2 linked regions of the Rhinolophus ferrumequinum genome follow. The protein of the gene in region 2 interacts with the protein of the main gene of each other region in a biochemical or structural test. Links are inferred from orthologs where the notes say so. Each region holds a gene or a part of one and is shown on either strand. Other genes may lie near its edges.

Region 1 (8,054 bases), on a different chromosome or scaffold from region 2:
CACTGTGGGTACTTGCTGCTCCAGCAGGGCACGCACAGCATCCATGGAGGGAAAGGCCTGGCTTCTCAAACCTCACTGCCGGTGTGGGAGGGGTGAATTTCATTCCCCGTGTCCTAAATCCTTGTGTTAGAAACGTTCATTTCTGTCCTCACCTCTTGGACCTTACTTAGTCCTGGGGGCTCCAAAGTGCTGTTCGTGCAGGTAGTGTGATTACCTGACCTACTGCTGAGCTAGCACTTCCCGAGCCCCAGGGACACAACCTCTCTGCCAATCACCTGCTAGGCTGAGCTCCCCAAGCTCCATCTGTCATGGTGGGGAGCCCAGTGGAGTTCAGAAGGGTCTGGTCTCCCTCACAGGACAGCTGAACACCGGGACTGGCCAGTGTTGAGAGGCGGAGACTTGGGCAATTGCTGGACGCTGCCCTGGGCATTGCACTTGTCTCGGTCTGACAGTGCCGGCCCCACACTGCGGATGTTTGCAGGGGAGGGTAGGGGGCCTCCACCTGTTTTGTGCGTAGGCACCCCATGAGTTGCCCAGCCTTAAAGCTGAAACACGGGGGTCCCCTGACTATTCCACTCCCCTCCTCCCGTTCCCATCTCTCCCTACCTTCCCCTTAGGCACGTCTGCGAATGGTGGACACAGTGGAGAAGGAAGATGTGAATGAAGCCATCAGGCTAATGGAGATGTCAAAGGACTCACTTTTGAGTGACAAAGGACAAACAGCTAGGTGAGTGGTTTAATGGAGAAGGAAATCAGGAGTCACCTTGACTTTCCTGAGCAGACCACTTATCCTTGTGGCTTCTGCAACCACATGTATGATTGCCTCAGAATTCCACTGTTCTGACATGTTGGGTGCTCTTGTCGGTAGCCCTGACCTTACACATCCACACTTGTTTCCTTCAGGACCCAGAGACCAGCAGATGTGATATTTGCCACTGTCCGTGAGTTGGTCGCAGAGGGCCGAAGTGTCCGGTTTTCTGAGGCAGAGCAGCGCTGCATATCCCGGGGCTTCACACCTGCCCAGTTCCAGGCAGCTCTAGATGAGTATGAGGAGTTAAATGTCTGGCAGGTTAATACTGCCCGGACACGGATCACTTTTGTCTGATTCCAGCCCACTTGAGATACTGGGGTCTGTTCTGCGTACCGTGCTAAACACCCCCCTTCCTTTAAAGGTCTAACGATGCCCTTGAGGGGAAAGGAGGACACCCCTCACCCCCGTTTTCCTGAGCTGCACTTGTTTTATACATTCCTTTTGCTAATAAAGTGTGTGTAGATTGCCTCCTTCTAATAAAACTGGGTATTGTACATTTTATAGATTCATCTCTTATTCCTTTTATACTCGTCTTCATTTACTCAATAAATGTATGAACTACCTACTCTCCCTGCCAGCTACCAAGACAGACACTGGGAACGCAGCAAGGAATGAAAACGCCGCTGTACAGCGGGTCGCACTGCATCTCCACTCTGACCCCTTGCCTGCTCTTACTCCCCTCCAGATTCAAATGTATACTGAGTCTCCTGCTGTGCTCCCTTCTAGTTCTGGGGATACAGCTGCCAGTATGAAACAGCCTCTAAGCCAACTCCATGTCTACCTTCCAAAATGCCTCCAACAGACCCCTCAGTACTCACACCTCTTTCGTCCCCAAATACAACTTGAAAGGCCTGGTTAGGGGATGAAAATCAAGGACCTGGAGGGAGGCACAAGTAATTGCATAGAACAGTCTTCATGTTTACACCCCCTGGCCTCATCTCTAAAATGATACGGACACTAGTATCTGCCTCCTAGGGCTGGCTGAGGTGCCTGCTGGGTCAGGTACATATTCTGTAGCAAGCACTCAAACATTAGCAATAATTGGGAAACATCTCCCTCTTGGCAATACTCAGTGCTCGCTATAGGATCAAGACTCAGTTGTCCCTCATAGAAATGTGCTTAATATCCCGCTCCCTCCCAATCTCTTTTTGTGTGTGAAAAACTAAGCTTGGGAAAGGGGTCATTTGTTTACAGGGAGATACTAAAGAGCAAAACCCATTGCTTAGGTGGAAGCAGGCAGCCTTTGGCTCAATATAGACAGTCTACCTGACCAGACTTGGGGTCACTTCAAGTGGCAGTGAGCTCCCAACCACTGAAAGGTGTTGAGAAGAACTGATGATAAAATGGGACTCATGCCTCTGAGCAAGGCTGGAACCGAGAGCCTAACATCCAAGTGAGAAACCTATGTGGTGCCTAACAGAGGACAGAGCCACTGGAAGGGGTGCTGAGGGGGCACTCCCCTTTTATTAATGACAGGTTTCTCTAAGGGGAGTGGAACACCTCTCCCCTCTGGGACAGTTCTGACCCCTGTGCGTCATCTCTTCAAGTACCCTCAGAAGAAGAGCCCCCGCATCCGCCTGCCGATGCCTTGTCGGTCATAGAGGACGTTGAACTTGTTCACGAACTGGTTCATGGTGTTGCACGTTTTGGTGATGGTGCCAAGGTAGGCCATGAGCCCCACATCATTACATTGCTGGGAGGGAACAGAAAGATCCAGGTCCCTCACATGCCAGGGAACACCTGAGTCCTATGTCCTGCATGCAGAAATGATAGCATAAGCCCCACCCACCTTCCTGGGTTTTAACACTCACATCATAAAAGTCTGTCTTGAACTTGTCTGTGCTGAGTACCGGGAGGCAGTGACATAAAGCATAGGCCTCCCGCAGGATCTCGTGGTTAAAGGGGACCTCTCCTAAAGGTACAAAGAGAGGATGCATTAATGTGGATGTTGTCACTTCCCCAGGAGGGAGTGGAAAAGTGGTAGGAGTGCCAGGGAGTCCCCGTCCTACCTGCTTCAGAGGCTTTGACATACTCCAAGATGAGCTTGACGCGACTGTGCAGCATTTTGATGGCGCTGTGCTGTGCTATCAAGTGTTCAGCCACTGCAGGGGGCAGGGACAGGCCACGGTTGAAAAGGCTTGTGGCTACACCTTCCACCCCCACTTCCAAGTATGCCCCTCCAGCCTCCATTACCCGTGGAGTTCTCTCCACTGCCTGTTGCTGTCATTCGGGCGACATGGTCTACACCAATGCGTTCAGCTTCCTCTGTGGCCAGGGTGTAGGTCAGTTCAGCAAACAGCATTGTGGCCTACAGGACACATAGGGAGAGTCAAAAGCGGGAAACATCAGGGGCAGGATCTGAGGGTTGAAGGGTAGGGCATTACCTCTCCATTGATTATATCGATGACAGACTCAAAAACGCTGACAGGAAGCTGTAAAGAAGAGATGGAGAACAGCTCTTACATCAAATCCACCTGAAACTATACTATGTGCCAAAAATTGGGATTGGCAGTTTCACATTGAAGGGCCAATGAAGGACAGATTATCGCTGTTTTACACATAAGAAAAATGCAGGTTAATCCAAAGACATAGCTGATAAATGGCAGAATGAAGATTCAATTCAACAGAGATGTCACACAGTAAAAGACAGCAGGGGATGAGTAAAAAAGATAAGCATAGCGATAGACAAGTATGACCAAATGGGCATTGGGTCAGTGTTACTCACATCCGTGTGCTTGGTCATGGGGTTCAACTTAAGAAAGAGGGGGCTCTCAATGATCTCACACACCTGGAAGAGGGGGATGATGGATAAGTGTATTGCCCATCTTTCTTCTCTCCCTCATCCTCTATTCTTTACCCCAGCATGCACATGTGTGAGCACGTATACCTGCTTATGGACGTGGATGTCGGAGGGGTCAGGTGGCCCCCCAGTGGTATACCAACCCAGAAACTCCAGCTCCTTGAATACCTGTTTAACTGGAGAGGAAGGGGCCAGAGCACAAAGTATTTCTTTAAACCATCCTTCCTTAATTTGAAGCTCCTGGTGTATTTTCACCAGCTTCTCTCCTTCCCCTCAAATCCCGGTTCATTTTAGAATGGTTATTTTCTTCTCTCATCCTTCATTTTTTTGGGGCAGAATACCCGAATGTGTTCTTTTTCTGAGATTTCTTCAGGTACTCCACTTTCCCACCGTTCTCATCCCATGTCCTGTTTATTTTTCCCCAACCCTCTCCATCTTCCCCACTCTGCTTTTTTTTTTCCTCCCACTCCTCTCTTCCACTTCTATTCCCCTCTCACACTGCTCCTCCTTGGTGTAATAATATTCCTTGTCAATGATAATCTTCTCTTCCACGGTGTGTGACAGCAGCTCAAAGGAGTTCATCACCTCGATATTTCGGCCCTCCTGCTTCCCGATCAGAGCCCCAATCACTGGGGAAGAGAAGGACACACAGGGGTGAGAGGCAAGAATCCCAAAACTTACCTAATCATTACAGCTGGAGGGTGTGAAGTCAATGTGAACTAAATACAGGGGAAATGGTGATTTGGCCGAGGAAGGATTATCTTCAGGAAAAGAAGGAGAACAGACCACTGTTTGGTGGAGGTGACCAACGAAAGGAGGTTGCAGAATTAGGCTGAACACTCACCCTGCATAGGCCGCCCCTCCTGGGAGCGCATGCGAATCCAATGATCTGAGATATTGAGAATGACCAGGGGATGAAGAGCAACTGAAACACTCCCAGTCACTCCGGAAGCCATCACGCTGGGGACTACTAAAGGTGGAGGAGAAGGAGAGAGAGTGAGACTCCGGGCCCCACGCCCTTCCCAGGAGACGGGAGTGGGAGATGGCAGAGCCGGGCCATATATCCCTCCCGCAAGTTATCCCAGGGAGCGATGTTACCGTCCACCCTCCTGACCTCTCCTGAGATCCAGGAAGGCGGCCTTAACGCACCTCGAAGGCCGTCTCCAGAAGCCGCCCCCGCGGGGCCCGTTACCTGCTGCATCCACCTCCATCCCGCTGCTCCCCCCAGTCCCGTTCGCCGCAGCTGCCACCGCCGCCATTTTCCCCGCGCCCGCCGGCCTCGGCCCCGCCCCCCTTCCCGGCTTCCGTCCGTGGCGGCGCATGCGCATCGTCCCCGGGGCGCGCGCCTGCTCTGGCGCAAGACAGCGGCTGTCCTACCTGCCTGGTGTCCGCCCGCAGCCCTCCGGCGGCAAAAGTCCGACGCCCGCATGGCCCTGAAGCCGACAGATTTTCCTAGACCCTGACCCAGGCTCTCGTCTGCGACTGACCTTAAACAAATTACTTAACCCTACCCCAACCTTTCCGTCTTCGTCAGCAGAATTCGATTAAGATTGCCTAGTCCCTAAGTCTATTACAGAATGAATGAAATGTCATGTTATTGCCCTCAGAATAAAATCCAAGCTGCTAACCGCGGCCTGCAAGGCCCTGTATGATTCGGCCCCTGCTTGTCAATGGGCCCTGGCCTTTTCTGCCCCCTGGTCCCCATGTTTCAGCCACGCTAGCTCTCACACCTGTTCTTTTAACACGCCCCACTAACGCAAGGGCCTTTTGTCATGTTCATCATTATAACCCCTAAGACAACACGGTACCTGACACGGGTACCTAAATGATTTTTGAGTAAATGGATGAATACTTTGGGGTGGAGCCTGGTCTTGAGTAGCTCTCTGCAAGTCCTATCTTTCCTCCTCCCAAATAATGGTATTAACAACAGTATTAGGGGCATCCCCAGAATCTCCTAACCCCTTCCACGCTCCCTGTGCTCTCCATCTCCGTAAATCTCACCTCTGGCAAAGAGACCACTCCAGCCCTCTCCCCACTCTTCCATGTACGCAAATTGTGTACACCGCCTTTACCCCTTCTGCTGCCCCAACATGTCTGGTTGGCTTTTTAATATGTGTCTGTACCCCACCCAAAATGTAAGCTCTAGAAAGCAGGTAGAGACCTGTTTCTGGACCCCACGAGCCTATTCTGGTGCCCAGAACTAGCAGGTACTGGAGATGTTTTCTAGTGATAATAATAACTTACATGAATTAAGTAACCTCTCCACTTAGGAACCTGGATAAAGGAAAGTTGAAGGGCCAGCAACACTCAAAGGAAGAGGCCTGAGAAATCCTGCAGGGATAGGGGTCTTCTGGCCAAGGGGAAGTTGAGAAAGAGTTTATCTCATTCTAATCTCCAGTGAAAAACATTCCAGCCAACTGAGACAGTAATGGAAGAAAAGCATATGTGCCATTTTAGGGAAAATGAGGTCAGAAAAATCTATCTCTTTTACATGATAGGCAACGTTTAAGGAGTTTCTCAGATTGAAGGCTAAAATAAAGACAAGAATTATTCTAGGGTTAATAAAGTTGACAGTTGGTGTTGTTGTTTCACACATTAAAGTACTTCTTTGTCTTTTTGTTGTTTCAAATGCTTTTGAAACTGCTCAGATAATTATACAACCCATAAAACAGTGGTTATTGTGAAATTCAAGGATGATTTTGAAATTGAATCAGTTGATTATACATGCTTTGGAAGTAAGCTCACTGAGCATTTCTTAAAAGTGCATTGTATTAAAAATCTACTAACAAAAACTCAAGTTGAAATTGTGTTAAGGCAACTTATCCCACAGTTCTCTTTCTACCTTCCAACAAAATTAAACACAATGCATCATTTTGTTGTTTTGCTAACTTTTCCTTCCACAGAGTGGAGGTAACTGGGCTGGTGGGGAATAGCTGCTCAGAGAGTCAGCAAAGAAGATACCAAGGACTGAAGGGAAGGCCCTCCAGGAAAGAACACAGACTGAGTCACCGATTGCTTTGAATCTGTGGTGTTATCAAGAAATTCTACTCTTTGGGGTCAGTGATTATCCATCCATCCATCCACCCATCCATCATTCATTCATTTACTTAAAAAATATTTAGGAGTGCCTACTATGCAGCAGGCACAATTCCAGGTGCTGGGGTTACAGCACTGAACACAACCAAGTTCTGATTTCATGAAGCTTACACTCGAGTTGTAAGAAACAGACAATAAGCACACATAAGGATATTAAAAGGGATTCGAGGGGTGGTGTTTTACATGGAAGGGAAGACCAGAATGGAGTCAGGGAGCAAGGTGTAAGGAGAGCTGGAGGAGGAGTATTCCAAATGGAACAAGTGCGAAGGTCTTTGGGCAAGAGAATGCATGATGTGTTCCAGGAATAATGAGAAAGCCAATGACTGGAGCTGAGTGAGGGGGCAAGTGGGGACTGAAGGACTGAGATGAAATGAAATCAGAGAGGTAACAGGGTCAGACCAGGTGAGGACTCGTGAGCTTTGGCTTTCAGTCTGAACAGACACATGACTTGATTTGACTCAAGGCTGTAAAGGGTCACTCAGGCTGATGCATGGAGGTTAGATGGATGGTAGGGGACATAGAAGCATGGAAAACTGGAGCTATTGTCCTAATCCAGGTGAGAGATGACCATGGTTTGGACCTGGGCAGTAGAGGCAGAGGTAGGAGATGACTCAGGCCTGTAGCTATCCACATGCCCTGGTGTGTATTGGAAAAAGTCTCTAGTACAGCAGCTATAGTTAGTAGTGCTGTATTGCATATTTGAAAGTTGTTAAGAGAGGAAATCTTAAAAGTTCTCCAAAAAAAGAAAAGGATGTCCCTTCTAAGCTCAAGCTGGGTTTCAGTCCCCACTTGCCCCTTCACCCAGCTGCCCTGGACAGGGCAAAACCTGTGAGTCCTGATTGAATTCAGGATACATTTGGAAAGTAGAGTTAATAGGATTTGCTGACTCAAGGACACTTGGGCCTCAGGAGAAGCGCATGAATTTGTAGTAGTGGGTTTGAAACAAGGTTGTGCTGGTCTGTGTGTCAGCATGCAGATGGAATGGGGAGAGGTGTTCACAAGGAGGAGTTTCAGTGCTGGCAAATCCAGCCAGAGCTGCTGCCTAGCTCAGGTAGCCACGGGATGGGCTTGCTAGGCTGCGGTGGTGCTAGATCTAGACGACAAAGAGAACGTTAAGGGATCCTCCTCCCACCTCCCTGCACCTCCTGGGTCTAAGGTGTTCCCTTTCCAGTTGCTGGGTTATTGCTCTTCTTCTATGGCCACAAAATTGGTGTGTCACATCCTAGTAGCTTTTTCTCCAATTATCCCCTATTTGCATACAGACCTTTTGTCCAGAAGGGTCAGGTGTGAGTGAAAGAGGGCATTTTTACAAAATTTGCAAAGACCATTATACCCTCCACCTTGACC
Region 2 (8,054 bases):
TGGACAACTGGCCCAGGCTGCAGGAGCCTGGGTCTGTCTTGCTGTCCTGCCAACTCACCTCACTCTCAATCTGCTGCTTCAGGCCCAGCTGCTGCTCCTTGTGCTGGTTGGCACGGCTCACCTGCTCCTCGATGCCTGACAGCACTACCTCACAGCCCACACACCTGCAGGAATCGGGAGTGAGAAGCAGCAGGAGAGCTGTGATGACAGACTCACTAAAAAAAGATTCAGAAAGGACCCTAGATCCTGGTATCCAAACCCTTTTCTGAGTTAGGAACCCTCACCAGGGCACCTGGAAACCACCTGCAACAATATTCCCAGGAGCCAGAAGGACACTCAGGTAGGAGAAGAGAGCTATAAGGAAGTACCTGGAGTGATGTATAAGATGGGATTAGGAACTGAAAACAAAATGGGATAGGAGAAGCTAAAGAGAAAAAAAAAAGGTGTATGAATTAACTAAGGTTAGGGAAGGACACAAGGAGAAAAGCCAAAGTGGAAGAGGTCCAGGACCTATGGACAATCAATGCTGGTTACAGATCAATGGGTTGAATCCAGCCTAAGAGGTGACCAACCTCCCAGTGAGGATCCTCTAAGAGTACCACTCCCCTTTCCCTCCCCCAATTACTATACCAAGGACACCATCTCCTGCCTCTTGCCTCCCAACCCCTCCTCCACTCCTTTCCTCTCTGAGAAGCCTTTGGAGGAACAAGCTCATTTCCCTTCATCCACCTGGATTCCACCTCTGCAGCCCAGCCCAGCCTTCACGCCTCCAAAGCACATCTCCCTTTCTTGGGGTGAGAAGAGAAGGGACAATGCCAGGACACAGGTCTCACCACTCCTGTAGGGTTCGGGCAATGGCACTGAGGTCCTGGCGCTGGATGTCCCGCCCAATGCTGTAGTCAACCTCTAGCCGCTGATTGCGCTGGTCCAGGGAGCCACGCAGCACATCGGCGTACACAGCCTCAATGACAAGGTCTTCCAGCTGCCTCACGTTACGCAGGGCAAGGGCCTCCAGCAACACTGCATATGGGATACACTGGGGCCCAGGGAGGTCGGGCTGGGATTTGTGAGGTTCTGCTGCAGAGAGAGGCTTCCAACATTCTTCTTCCTTCCTTTCCCCAGCCTAGGCTCCCCTGCCTACCCTCCCCTCCTACTCCTAAATATGTCTTCTAAAAGGTTGGTTCTAAAGCAAAATAAATAAAAGTATTCCCACCTGAAAAATAATAGCATGAGAAGGACAATCTTAAAATGGAAGATTTATGCTCTCCTCCCATCCTTACCTCCCACACCACAGAGGAAGAAAGTGACCTCTACGTGGGTGTCAATCCTCTGGCCACAGCTCAAGGTAGCACTCAGACCTTGGTCAAGATCAGCTTGACATAATGGGAGTGTGTGGTGAGGGAGAGGTCCGGAGTTACTGTTCACCATTTACACACTGCGTACTTCCAAAGAGGCTTCTCACAATAGAGAGCCTGATTTAAGTAAAATCATGAAAACAACGGGAGAGCCTAGTAACAATTGGGAGAGTGCAGATGGGCGGGAGGGGGATATTTAACGAAAAACCAAACCTAACAGGAAATATAGAGACACTTCCAGGTTACATTATTTCTTATTCTAGGAAATAGAAGCCTAGTATTCCACCAGCAGACAGAACCGTGTTCCCAGCTCTGAGCGTGGAGGCTGTTTGGATGGGAATTTCTATAATGGGGAGGAGGGTGATTGTTGAACAACACAGTGAATGGCATCCTAGTTGCTATTTGGACCCAAAACTAAAGATGTTTAGAATTTGATTAAAAAATTAAAAGAACAGAAAATTAAGAGAATATTTAGCCTAAAAGGCTGCAGGTAATGGAGTTCAAATACAGACCTTGGAGGGACATGGCGGGGAAAGCAGAAAGAAGCAACAGTGTGGTCAACGGCTGTCCAAGTACAAATTCTCTTCAGACAGGCCCTTGTGAAGGGCTATACAAAAGGATGCTCTTTGGCTCAGGACTGGGGGAACTATCACTCACCTTGACTTTGGCAGCCAGGGTGACGACGGACAGGTGTCGAAGCTTATTCTTCTGAGCCTCTGTGAGCGGGGGAAGATTCCGGGCTTCAGCTAGGAAAAAAGGACAAAGTATAGGAAATTCTGATTCCCTTCTTGTGGGAAGGCCTAGCCTCCTTCCACTGATTTTTTTTTTTTTCAGTTGTCCATGCCAATTCAGGCTTGACCCAAGACTCTGTGTACCTAAGGGATCTAAGTAGGGTACCCCAGGAACTTCTAAGTCCCTCCAGAAAATGCCCTTCTCCCACCTCCACTACTCTAGAGCTCCAGCCCTCTGGTTACCTAGGTAGTCAGCATATGTCCCATAAGCAAACACCGTGAGCAGGCGGAACGTTGAAGCAAAGTCACTCTCAGCCAGCTGCAAGAATATGAGGGAAGAGATGACAGGAAGAAGGGCCTCTCTGTTCACCTCCTCCCAGCCTTTCCCTGTTTCAAACCCCACTTTCTGGCCCCATCGTTCGTCTCCATTAACTCTCCCAGCTCACTGAGAGGAACTGTCTGCATCTTTCATCACTCTCCCCATAGGAAGGCCTCATTTCCACCGCTAGGCCTTTGCTTACACTGCTCCCCCAAACCTACAATGCCCTCTTCCTCCATATGCCCCCAATTCCTACCCTAAATTCAGAGTTTAAAACATTCATAGCGTTCAGTATCTAACACACACACACACCCAACATTGCAAATGGTGTTGTTTGGTCCTTAGAGTGTGTTTAATATTTGTGAGTTTGATTATCTTTAGGCAGTTTGTTATACTCCCCTATTCACCAGACTCCTGCCTCAGCCTCACTCATCTCTGACAGCTACATGGCCTAGGCAGTCATTGGAATTTGTGGCCTCTGCTTCAGACCTGCCTCACCCAGGGGGCTTTCTCATCCAGGGCAGCCCACCTAGATCTCCTTTTCTATCACTGATCACTCATTCTGGCACTTATTCAATCAAACCCTACCTAAGGTTGTTACCTAAGAATGTATTTCTTTCCAACAGGATTATAGACCTAGTCTCTGGTATCCCACTTAGGTCTAGCAGAGTTAAGTATGTAGTTGGCTCTCTCAATAAATACTTGCTAAATAAATGATATGTACATGTATATCCATTCGTCTGATCTCTGTAACTGGGAAGTAAGTTTCAGAAGGATAAGCTCTATTGTCTCTTACTTTTCTGGCATTCCCAGACAACTAGCAGAGTGCTAAATATACATACAATATGTGCTTTTTCTTCACCTTGACTGAATATCTTTAGTTCCACTGCAGAGGAAAGCAGGGAAAGAAGGCAGCCAGTTTTCTCCGTACCACAGAGTGATCCCAGAAGGCTAAATCCGCTGACTCAATCACTGGCCCTCAACAATTTAACTCATAGTTTGCCCACATACCACTGTCATAGCATCTCAGGACTTGGGCTGGTGTCATATATCTTGGCGACTCACCCACCCTGGATTTTAAACTCTTAACTCTGCCACGTCTGTGTGAATAGTTCTCTATGCTGTGTTTCTAGCATCTTGCCACATGTCTTTATGAAAAAGGACAGCTTCTACCTGATCTAATTTAAGTGAATTAGCATATGGTGCAAAGAGGGGAGTACAGGGCATGCCAATCTCATGTTACATTCCTTCCATTTATACCCGACTTCACACTTTCTCATAATTTCATCTGATTTTTATAGTAACGGTGAGGGGGCATTATCAGCTCCATTTTTAAAAGAGAAAACTGAGCCCCTAAAATAAAAGTATCCTGATCAAGGTGACATGATTATTAAGGGCTATTACATTGGTGGAGACAGGCTGGAATCAGGTCTCCTATTCTGAATAACAGGCTCTTTTGCTTAAGAATATCGGGTTTCACAGATCACTTATCCTCAAAGGGAAACTAAGAGGCTTACTTGTGTACTTAGTACTCTTGCAAGATGCCAGTTAATCATCATCCTATTCTTGTTCAACTGAATGGTTATGGGGTTACAAAATGAGCCCTGCCCCCCCATTCTCAAATTCAAACTTTAGCCCCAAGCTTCCCTGTGGGCTATCCAGGTCAGGACCCACCTCTCTAACATTAGGCATATCCAGCAGTTCCCCAAACACGTAGACACCAGGGGCCTCCAGCACTTGGTGGATGAGTGTGGCCAGTGCTGCCCCCTTGGCCGACTTGGCCAGGAGCAGAAATTGCTCCTGGTTCTGCCCTGTCACCTTCACCTCGGCACTCATGGCTGCACTGAGCTGGGGGTACTTGGGCTCAGGATGTCTGGACCTGAAAGGAAAGAGGATGTGAAAATGGAGGTCCCTAAACAGTGGGGGAATGGGAAGCACAGGGCTAGGGGCTGATTGCAGAGGCACCGAGTCACTTCTGCAAAGAGGAATCAGAGACGGAGCAGTCTAAAGCTCGGACCTCGGAATCCTAATACGGGGCCACTTTGATGGAAGCCTGGCTGATACAAGGTTGCCACGCCCACCCTCCTCCCACACTTGGGCCTAACCCCAAAACCCACCACATGCACCCCAATGAACCCCAAAGCACAAGATGCAGTGGGGGAATGGGTGTCACATGGTGTCCATCCCAGTGACGACGCTACCTCGTATCTCCACTTGTGTCCCGCAGGTGCCCCCAACCACGTGACCTCACCCTCAAGATCCTTCCACGTGGCTCCGCCCCCTCCCTTAAAGAGGCCGCCCCGGGACCGCGGGCTCCCGCCGACTGCTGTGTCGTACCCTGGAATAGACTCTGCGGGCCGCTACCTGGAAGCTTCGTCTTCCAGAGCACGGGGCGGGACCGTCGCTCCGTCACCTCCGGCAGCTGTTCCGAGCCTTTCCTGCCACCTCCATGCAGGGTCGCTCTGGCCACTAAACTCTATGGATGACTTCCGGCCGCACTTCCGCTCTTACTAGGCGGGTTTGGGGCGGGATATTCCTCGCTCTCGCCTTCCGACTGCTGAAGTAGCTGTGAGCGACACACGCATTCTACTCTCTGATTGACTGTTGAGGAAAGACTGACGGGCGCTTTTTTCGTGCTTTGTTTCAATAAAACTTTATTGTTGGCCAGCGCTAGACGCTAACTGTAGAGAGAACCTCTGATCTCAGGCAGGTACCGGGTGGTTCTGTGTCAGTTCCAAGCTGCCAGAAATCTGGAGACCTGGCTGCACGGGGGTCCCTGAGGCGAGAGGAAGGCTGTCATGGGAAAAGAGGAGGAAAAACAGGGGGGAGGGGCGGGAAGCGGGATTTGAGGAGGAGAGTGGAAGGAGACCATATCAATAATAGAAGTTTAGCAGCAGAGATCATCTGGGTAGTTCAACCACTCATTTTTTTGAGGAGCAAGAGAAAAGAAGTGGAAAAGGTAAATAACTTACATGTATTGAGTCAGGCATCTTTTAAAATTTTATCCCATTGAATCCTCATAACTACAGCGTCCCTAGTGTGACTCCTGGACACCATCTATCTTGATTACAACATGTACTTATAGAGTGATGCTTTCCTGAACATTGACTCTTTTAATTCTTTGGGGAGGAAAAAAACCTAGGTGTAAGGAAGGCATGTATTATTATCGTTTTACAGATGAGGAAACTGGGGTTCAAGTCTTTTCAAACCCGAAATCATCTTTCCACTTCACCATGATACTTTTTTTTGGGGGGAGGGTCACTATTTATTTAGGACAAATACTCCACATCTGTGATTCTCTCCAGTCAGAAGTTCTTTGAGACGATGCTGACAGCCTTGGCCAGTCGGAGAATGGAGTCATCTGACTCACCCATCCTGTGAATGGCCCCACAGATAGCGTAGGTTTTAAACGCCATTGAACCTGCCTGTCACCTTGTCAACCTCAGACACATTCATCTGGATGGATGTATGGTCCTTGGCGCCGATGATATGGTTGCTGGCGGGGCATTTCTGCGGCACATACAGGTCCACGAACTCGCCTGCGTCGTTCTGCACGTTGGGGGAGCACCTGGTGCCACCACGACGAGTGTGAGCACAGAAAGCTCACCATGATACTTTAGGGGAAAAAAATTAACTAACATTTCTATACTGTTTTATATTTCATACCGGGTTTGCAGAAGTTCAGATGAGAATAAAAGTTAATGACGTCTTGGAGGCTTTTGTGTTAAGCACTGAGCTAAGAGCTTTACTTAATTCGTTTGATGCTTATAACAACAACCTATTATTGTTTCCATTTTCCAGATTGAAAATCTGAGAGCCAAGGAAGTTAAGTAATTTATATGTAAATGAAAGAGGAGAACGTGGAAAAAGAGGACAGTAAATAAGAGAAAATCATAAGACTGGTAGACTACTGCAGCTGAAGGGACTTTAAACTTAAAATTTATGGTCCACATGGTGTGGTTTCTAGAAGAAAATGGGAAGCAGAAATAGGAAAGGAGAGAAAGAGAAGAAAAAGAAGAAGGAGAAAGAGGTGGAAGAGGAGAAAGAAGAAATGAATGGAAGAGATGACACATAAAAGTGAGAAGAAATCAAAGACATAATAAAATATCCAAAGTTTGAAGGAACCAAAGAATTATGAGTTCAATCTTATCAATTTAAAGAGGAAAAGAAAAAAAATGAGGAAAGAACGAGAAAAGAGCCAACTATGTTCTATTATGTTCTATTAGGTCTTTATTTTTAAAACTTTTAAAAAAGTCTTTATTTTTTTTAGAGTAGTTTTAGGTTTACAATAAAATTGAGAGGAAGGAACAGAGATTTCCCATATAACCCCTGCTCCTACACATGCATTGTCGCATCCAGCGCAACAAGGGCAGTGAGGGTGCGAGAAGGGGCGGTTTGCGTTAAGTTTTTAAGACAGAAACAAACGGAGACTTAATGCAGTTAAATCTCTCAGAAGGCCAGGGGTCTGTCAGTCTCAGAGGGCTGGAGCCCAGAATAAGGCTGACTGAAGGTTTTTATTGATAGGTATACAAACACAAGAAAGTAACATTGTTTCTTACACGGTCTGTGAGACTCATACATCATAGTAGAAAAATGTTTATTCCAATCACCCTTTGTCTATAAACAGCCGAAGCACAAGGTCCCATGATGTCTAACCTAAGGTATGTACCTTTTTAGGGTCAAGTCTCTCATATTGTAACAGCTCCATTGAGATAAGTGAGAGAACTGATCTTTGTTGTCTTCATGATTTTTCTCACAAACAGGTGCAAGGGAAAAGCCAGAGCCGGCAACAGACTTTCCCAGGCAGGGGGAAGGGGAGGCAAGGCCCCTTTTCATATTTCTCTAAGGCAGCTCATTAGGGGTCCCCACTCGGTTCCGCCTGGCTTAGGTTGTATCTCCCATGAGGTATCTTATGTCTTTGGCTGCAAACCATCTTTTGGGGACCGGACAGAGAGACATAAGGTGTAAACACAAGGATGGAACAGAGTCCCAGAAAGGCACAGTCTTACAGACTCTTCTTTCCTTAAGGAAAGACACGGGGGGACAGTTGGCTAGGCTGCTGTGTGACTACAATGCATAACTTCCCCCATTATCAACATCACTCACCAGAATGGTACTTTTTTTTTTTCCAAGGATGAACTTATATTGACACATTATAATCATCCAAAATCCATGGTTTACCAAAGGATTCCCTTTTGGTGGTGTACAATAAGTGGGTTTGTATGACATACATCCATCGTTTAATATCACACAGAGTATTTTCACTGTCCTAAAATTTCTATGTTCTCTGCCTATTTATCTTTCCCCACCCCCCACTCCTGATACCTACTAATATTTTTTTTTTCTTACTAATCTTTTTATTGTCTCCATAGTTTTACCTTTTCCAGGATATCATAGTGTGGGAATCATACAATATGTAGCCTTCTCAGATTGGCTTCTTTCACTTTAAGTTTCCTCCATGTCTTTTCATGACTTGATAGCTAATTTCTTTTTAGCACCAAATAGTATTACATTGTCTGGATGTACCACAGTTTATTTATCCATTCACCTACTGAAGGACATATTGGTTGCTTCCAAGTTTTGGCAATTATGAATAAAGCTGCTATAAACATCTATGTCCAGTTGTGTGTGTGTGTGTGTGTGTGTGTA

Evidence for each region.
Region 1: the proteins of COPS7A (region 2) and COPS6 form a complex in vitro, tested with the Homo sapiens proteins (3 studies listed by BioGRID, with this or other methods). The link is inferred for Rhinolophus ferrumequinum from reciprocal best matches to the Homo sapiens genes COPS7A and COPS6.

What each region holds. Positions count from the first base shown.
Region 1 is NC_046290.1:90,377,587-90,385,640, reverse strand, and holds COPS6 (COP9 signalosome complex subunit 6), read right to left. Parts: upstream 4,919-8,054; 5' UTR 4,871-4,918; coding exon 4,804-4,870; intron 4,582-4,803; coding exon 4,456-4,581; intron 4,241-4,455; coding exon 4,109-4,240; intron 3,788-4,108; coding exon 3,699-3,787; intron 3,600-3,698; coding exon 3,537-3,599; intron 3,244-3,536; coding exon 3,196-3,243; intron 3,120-3,195; coding exon 3,005-3,119; intron 2,914-3,004; coding exon 2,821-2,913; intron 2,724-2,820; coding exon 2,623-2,723; intron 2,505-2,622; coding exon 2,364-2,504; 3' UTR 2,250-2,363; downstream 1-2,249. Other genes in the region: DNA replication licensing factor MCM7, read left to right, coding at 618-727, 904-1,105. UniProt on the Homo sapiens protein: Component of the COP9 signalosome complex (CSN), a complex involved in various cellular and developmental processes.
Region 2 is NC_046293.1:23,928,150-23,936,203, reverse strand, and holds the start of COPS7A (COP9 signalosome complex subunit 7a), read right to left. Parts: upstream 4,915-8,054; 5' UTR 4,770-4,914; exon of another isoform or gene 4,607-4,769; intron 4,285-4,606; 5' UTR 4,242-4,284; coding exon 4,080-4,241; intron 2,406-4,079; coding exon 2,330-2,405; intron 2,102-2,329; coding exon 2,013-2,101; intron 1,037-2,012; coding exon 834-1,036; intron 165-833; coding exon 59-164; intron 1-58.